Coturnix japonica: one gene and its partner. The protein of the gene in region 2 purifies or fractionates together with the protein of the main gene of each other region. This does not show direct contact. Links are inferred from orthologs where the notes say so. Each region holds a gene or a part of one and is shown on either strand. Other genes may lie near its edges.

Evidence for each region. Proteins that work in one complex are often made in the same cells at the same time.
Region 1: the proteins of MAP3K7 (region 2) and PPP6C purify together in Homo sapiens (affinity purification with western blotting; 3 studies listed by BioGRID and IntAct, with this or other methods). This does not show direct contact. The link is inferred for Coturnix japonica from reciprocal best matches to the Homo sapiens genes MAP3K7 and PPP6C.

What each region holds. Positions count from the first base shown.
Region 1 is NC_029532.1:8,073,748-8,077,494, forward strand, and holds the start of PPP6C (serine/threonine-protein phosphatase 6 catalytic subunit), read right to left. Parts: upstream 2,202-3,747; 5' UTR 2,142-2,201; coding exon 2,067-2,141; intron 1,857-2,066; coding exon 1,761-1,856; intron 1,675-1,760; coding exon 1,609-1,674; intron 1,303-1,608; coding exon 1,161-1,302; intron 282-1,160; coding exon 202-281; intron 61-201; coding exon 1-60. Other genes in the region: RABEPK (rab9 effector protein with kelch motifs), read left to right, coding at 2,307-2,365, 2,441-2,586, 2,686-2,838, 2,959-3,120, 3,482-3,631, 3,743-3,747.
Region 2 is NC_029518.1:68,414,049-68,417,695, reverse strand, and holds part of MAP3K7 (mitogen-activated protein kinase kinase kinase 7), read right to left. Parts: intron 999-3,647; coding exon 870-998; intron 1-869. UniProt on the Homo sapiens protein: Serine/threonine kinase which acts as an essential component of the MAP kinase signal transduction pathway. Plays an important role in the cascades of cellular responses evoked by changes in the environment.

The DNA.
Region 1 (3,747 bases), on a different chromosome or scaffold from region 2:
GAGTGTCTTGATGTCCGGAGACAATCCACCGTGCACACAGAGAATCTGCTCATCTATTAGCTGGAGAGAAAAAGGAACACAAAGAATGCTCAGTATTTCAACCAAACCAAGAACCTCTCCAGCACCACCCTCACCACCACCAATTCTTCAAGTTATATTTAGACAATCTACCTGTATCTTTTTTAAGGTGTTTACACTTACAGCTGCTATTGTGAGCATGTCAAAGACTTTGGTGCAGTATCTCCAAGCATTAGCATTTCCGTATTTGGTTTGGCACTCATCTGTTAAATAGAGAATTTTTTTCTTCTTAACAGACCAGAAGGAATTCAGGCAATATGATCAGAGTCAAACAGAACAGAACCTAAAAAGGCAGATGTAAACCAAAAAGCAAACAGACAAATAAAAAACAGCTGGGAGCAACCGGTGAGCACTGGCTGGAAAGCACTGCTCACTGCTTCTGTGGTCCACCAGCAGGGAGAGAACCTCAGTATCTACTGCTGTGTCTTCAGCAACAGACAGAGGAAAAAGCAACACGACAGACAGCACCTCAGCATCTTCCCACCACTGACTGCCTGGGAACAGCCCCCCTGCTCACCCAGCAGTGTTTATACTCTACATTTCATGCAAGAGAAGTGAGGCAGAAACAGTGAACCCATCAGGGCTAATTAGAGACCTTTTCACTACAAATAAGTGTTACAGTAGCTTTGTTTGTAGCTATACAAACACATCAATAAAACTGATGGACAAATTTTACTTTGGAGCTTCACGAGGCTTACAAATGTTTATATATGCTCTTGTTGACACACTATATCATGTTATCCAGAAGAAAGCAAATTACAGCCTATATATGACAATGCTTTTCTCAGTTATACCTAAAGAGAATTATGTAGAATCTTTTATTTAAAGATACCAAAGCATATCATCAAAAAATGCAAAGAAAAACTGAGATGCTGGAGGAAAAGATGGTCTGGAGATGGACTAAAACGCTTTTACTTCTTGAACACAACAGTGTTAAATAACATTTGAGACCGTTTCCCACCCAGTTCAAGTAAAGCCCCACTTAACAGTGCACACACAAAGCCGATTTCAAAAGGGAAATAGGAGGTAGTTGTTGATGGCATGCTGGCCCCCATTCAGAAATCACTTGGGTAAAGTCTTACCATAGAATCCATACACTTGTGTTATCTGCCTGCTTTCATGATTGCCTCGTAACAGCGTGATACGATCGGGCCATTTAGCTTTTAGTGCCAGAAGGTAAGTGAAAGTCTCAAGACTATAGTAACCTCTATCTACAAAATCGCCCTGCAAAGTCAAAACAGAATTATGAATGAAGAAACAGCAAAAAGGAGAAATGCAAAGTGACACATCCACCTTTAACTCCTCATTGCACAAAGGAACCTGACGCTGAAGGGAGCCAAGCGGTGAGAACGAGCTCAGCTCCCCAGCAATGGTTCACTCACCCCTGCACGGGACGCCCGGCTCTGCCCGCCCTGCAGCCGGGGGCAGCACAGGGGTGGGAGGGCAGAGCGCTGCCACCAGGGCCGGCACCCAGCGCAGAACCGGGACCAACACGGCGCGAGGAGCAAAGCGGCACCGGCACGTACATACCATGAAGATGTAGTTGGTGTCGGGCACCTGCCCGCCGGTCCGGAACAGCTCGCACAGGTCATAGAACTGCGGGAAGGGGCACGAGTCAGCGCGGGCGGCGGCACCGGGCACCGCGGGGCGTCCCGGCCGAGCAGCGCGGCGTGTCCCGTTACCTGCCCGTGGATGTCCCCGCACACGGTGACGGGCGTGGAGACGGGCTGCACGTTGGACTCCTCCAGCAGCAGGTCGCACACGTAGTCACACAGGCGCTGCGGGAACACGGCGGGTAGCGCCACCAGCAGCGCCGGGGTGTGCACCAGCACCACCAACAGCACCGGACAGTATCGCTATCGCTATCGCTATCGCCATCGCCATCGCTATCACTATCGCTATCACTATCGCTATCGCCATCGCTACTACAACCACCGGCACCGTCCACCGCCGCCCGTCCGACCCCGCCCCCCCCCGCCCGGTCCCACCTTGAGGTCGTTCTCGGGCAGGTACTTGCAGAGCCGAGCGATCTCCACGTACTTGTCCAGGTCCAGCGGCGCCATCTTGGGACGGCAGCTCGGAGCCGGAAACGGAGCTCTCCACTTCCGGGAAGCGGCGCGAGACTCGGACGCCAGCGGAACTTCCGCGAACTTCCGGCCGCGCACCGGAAGTTGGCGGCGGCCGGAGCCGTGTGGGGCGGGCGGAGCTCGGCCCGGCCCGGTCCCGCCATGGGGCCGCTGCTGCCGCCGCTGCTGGAGCCGGGCAGCCGCCCGCGGGCGGGCAAGTGGTGAGCGGGGGGCGGGGCGGCGCGGTCCCGGCCGGCTCTCGGCCTCGGCTGAGCGCCGCCCGTCGCTTCCCGCAGGTACCGGCTGGCCCCGCGCGGTGAATGGCCCCGCGGGCGCGTGGGTCACGGCTGCGTGCTGGTACCGGGCGGGTCGGGCCGCGTGCTGCTCCTGGGCGGCGCCGACCCCGCGGGCGCTTTCGCGGACGCGCACTTCGTGGAGCTGGGTGAGGGTCGGGTCGGACCGGGCGGAGCCGCTGCCGTTCCCCGTTAACAGCCCCCGCTGCCGCCGCCGTTCCCCGCTAACGGCCCCGCCCCGCCCGCAGACACACACCGCTGGGCCCCGGCTGCCTGGAGCGGGCTGCGGCCGCGCTACGAGCACGCCACGTTCCTGCCCGCCCGCCTTCCGACGCGACTCTGGGTGTTCGGCGGCGCGCACCCGGCCGGGAACCGGAGCTGCGTCCAAGTGCTGGACCCCGGTGAGTGCCGGCACCTCGTCGGATGCCGGACCTCGGTGGAGCGGGTGTCGGGCCGGGCCGGCGGTGCGGAGCGGCCCTTCAGACCTCGTGTATGCTTTATTAATTGAATGTCTTAATTAGAAATAGGAACCTGGGAGAGTCCCGAGGTGACGGGTGTTCCGCCACTGCCCAGGACATTCCACACCTCCTCAGCAGCTCTAGGGACCTGTCTGTACGTCTTCGGAGGTGGAGACAAAGGAGCGGAGCCGGTTAAAGACCAGCAGCTTCATGTCTTTGACACAGGTACCTGAGTGTGTCGTGAGCTGTACCGGCACTGGAAGTAACCGCCCGCTGTTCTGAAGTTCTGCCTCCCAGATCTCATCAGCCTTGGCTGCGAGTTTCAATGGAGGGCTGAAGGTTGCTGAGGGCTGAAGGTTGCTGCTGACATGTGCTCACCTCTGTATTGCAATGGGGAACTTGGGCCAAAGTGGCAGTATAATGATTTGGGACAGGAAATGCTGTGAGACTTCTCATGACCTGTTGGTATTATTCTGTCTGTTCCTATAGTCCTGCATACCCCAGGAGGGAACCCCAGCGAGACTCGGGGGCTGCTGGTTTGTAGAGCTGACAGTTTTCCTCATACACACACATTCCCATTTTTCAGATGCTTTGACATGGACCCAGCCTGGCACCCACGGTGACCCCCCTTCTCCTCGGCACGGACATGTCATAGTTGCAGTTGGGACCAAGCTCTTCATACATGGAGGTTTAGCTGGTGATATTTTTTATGATGATCTGTTCTGCATCGATACAAGTAAGTAGGGCCACAAGTACCTTAGAACAATGGCTGTGCTATGAAGTGTTTTGCTTTGGTTTTGTTTGTTTTTAATAATGCATAACCATATCTGTTCTTGTTCTCCACCAGCCGAC
Region 2 (3,647 bases):
AAAATATGACTACAATTCTCAGGCACAGTGCCAGCCATCATTGCTTGCTTGTTAATTAGATCATCCAAACAAGTTCATTCTTTCTTTGATGGTGTTTTTCACAAATGGCAGAAACTCTTTGCAGACATTCAGTGAGCTAGCTATACCCCTACCATTACTGCCCTCTTCTTACAACTCTGATTTGCCATGGTAACTGAAAGTACTCTGTTAAGAAAGCCATACTACCAGAATTAAGATTTTACAATCTACTATTTTGACTAATATTGTACCACTGCTTTGTCCATCTTAATTCAATAATTTCTCCTGTACATTATACTAAAGTGCTTGGGACATGGTTCTGTAAAATACCTAGTACAGTAAAGTGTTCCTGCTCCTTGACTGCAGGACCCTAGATAAAACAATTCAAACAGCAGAATAAAAGACACAACAACAGTTGAAAAACAAAGTGACATTTATAGTTCCCCAAGGACCTGCAGAATTTAACAGTTTTTACATTTTAAAATATAGGTTAATTACTTAATAAAGGATAAAGATAAAGGAGCTATCTTTTTTTTTTTTAAAGTACATGACTCAGACCACTGTCCAATCTTTTAAAATGGGGAGTTGTAATAAATGTACTGCTTTTCTCCACGGTGTATTTGTACAGTGGTTACATGCGGCAGGAAATGCAAACAATGCAGCAGCCAAATAACACAAAAACCACACTAACATAGAAGTGTTAGTGTCTTAATATTTAATCTTTATGACAGAAGTCCTTATTAAATATAGAATTGAAAAACTAATAATTTAAAAATGCATGCTTCACAATGTTTAGCAAATTTATAGGTGAAATATACAACTTGAAATGCAGTCAAACATTTTCAACTCACCATTGTGAACTGCCCACATTATGCGGAAAGCTGGACCACCAATCTCATCAAAAGGTTTCCTGCGGGTGATTACCTCCCAGAGAATAATACCCCAACTGAAAACGTCACATTTTTCACTGTAATTGCTACCTGGAAGAAATCAGAAATATACTCTGTTTCTTTTTCACGTAACTTTTCTATAACTCATTTTTAATAGGTACAGTTCCATGTGAAAAATAGCTCTATATACTTCCTTTTACCTCATATTTGCTTTCCTAAGAAAATAAGGTTTTCTAAAGCTGTTTGATTTAAGCTAACTTAAGTCTGAAATAATTTGACAGTATGTTCATTAGGAATGCCTCTCTCTGGAAATCAGCTCATTTCACTTGGAATAATCCCGAAATGATAAATGAAGTCAGTTTGGTTTTATAACACCAAATGCAATTTATTACATTTCAATGATCTTTTGAATTCAGAACTGAACCTTGCTTCATCTAAATATTCTTGTTGAGCTTGCTTCTTCCACATTAATCATAATATGTTAGTCATCTTTGCCATAGCCTCTGCTTTCAATTAATTAGAGGTCTTTAGCAGAATCATAAAGTTACCACGTAAAACATTAGCAGATTCTCCAATTCACCATCTTGTTTCTTCTCTGTTTACCTTTCTTAATGTTTTTGTCATGCCACTATTTAAATCAAGTTCCCTGATCACAGGCTAAATATTTATAAGTCTAAGTTACAGGTGCAGAAGACATACAGGCAATATAACAACATTCAGAAACTAAAAGAGGAAAACTGTATGTTTTGTTGCCCTAACTCATGCAAATACTGAAAGAAATGTGAATGATTAATAACATGATAATGACAGCATATTTATAAATAACATGGATTTTTAAAATTAATATGTAATAAGAAAGTATTATTGAGACAAAGCATTTCATAAGTAGGAATTAGTGAAGCAGTATTTCCTAAGACCAGTTCTTGCAGATTGGACTATGAAAGTCAAACTGAATAAACAGGATGCAGCCATGTACTCTCTAAGCAAGGGCAATCATTTGAACTTCTCTCATCTATTGATATTACAAAACTCATAAGAACTTGATAACTCTGAAACCCCTTATACTTGTATCACAGTAGCTGAACGTGGCTAATGATTAAAAAAAATTCTGAAGGGTAATAACAAAGTCAGCTTTCTCTTCAAAAGGTAGCTGTTAATGATGACACATTATAAGGGAAGTAAAACAATCTCTGAGTCTATGCGGTGACAGCACTTCTAGCTACACATTCACTCCATCTTAGGCACTCCACTTTTAAACTGATTCTTCCCAATGATGGCAAGATAGGAGCCCAGCAAGAGCTTTAATGCTGCTGTGTTGAGCAAAGCACTAAATAACTGCATCCCTCCCCCTTTTGTCAAAACTCCTGCACGGTAAGAAGAAAGTGACAACCTTTACGCCTTTTGTCTCTGACAGGTCTGAAGAAGTCCCTTTTCAGTGGACAAAGCTGACTAGAAATGATACTTGGTACCAATAGAGGAGTGAAGACCCCGTGGTACACAGTGGCCGACAGACAGCCCATGATAGGAAAGTAATGCTGTACTCCTGTTTAAGCAAGGAAATTCTAGTTAGTTTGAAGCTGAAAACTAACTCTGAAAAGTGATAGTTCGAAACCAGTACCTAGCATAAGGGGGAATGTCCTATTGTTTCCTTATATAACAGGCCTAGGAGGGATAGCAGATGCATCACTTTTCAATATCCAATTATCTCAAAGCATTTTAAAAATAATTTTGACAAAGAGAGCTCAGAGCTTATAGTACTTTTTTTCTCTTTCACTTTATTCTATCTAAATTATAATATTTTCATTTAGACTGTATGATCTGTTACAAGAGTCTAAATGCCTTAATACTTAAAACTCAGAGGAAGTCATAATATTAGGAAAATTACATCCGTAATCACTTTTTAAGTATGTCACCTACAAGAGATAGTTCTTAAGCCTTTTTAGTTCTTGACTAAAACTTAGTAATAAAGCAGTATCAAAAAAATATTACTGCTTATCCCACTGTTAATTTCTGATGCAGTAGTACACGCAAAAAAAGTTTAACATTTTTGACATAATTTTAATACTCCTTTAGTACATTAATACTTAATTGACTGTCCCAAGAGTAATTTGATATGCTGCACCACAGAATTTACTGGATCCCTTGATCTTTCCTTCACACTGATTCTCACATAAAAGACTTGTGGCATCATCACTAAAAGCTTTCAGGAAAAGGTACGTAAAGCCAACTGCAAACTGAAAGCTTTTGCTGCCACCTAACAATAGATTTGCAATACAATATTTCTTTGTTCTGCCCTGATGAATTTATGTAGCAGAGAAATTAAGCTAAGCACTGTAAATCCCCACCATGGCGCTGCTCTTATTTAAAAATCAGCTTTTATTTTTTTCACTCAAAAGCAAAAATTTTGTTTTAACGCTGATAGGGCAATTGATAACCTCTAAAGGAAAAAGATATTCACACAATTTCATTTAACAGTAAATGTTAAGAAAGTAAGCACTCCTAGCTAAAGTTAAAGAAACAAAGTAGGTGCTCCAATATAAAGTGACATAATGGAAAATTTTTAGGCACCAGGGTAAAGCAGAATCATCCTTAGGTGATTCCCCAAGGTGACAAGTAGAAAAATGAGGCACCTTCATAATAAAAGCTCCAAAATTGGTGCCCAGGAGAAAAACCCTCTGAAAAATATTAATTGTGGACACTGCAAAACAGAACACCTGCTTTCTGAAGAAAGAAAATGAC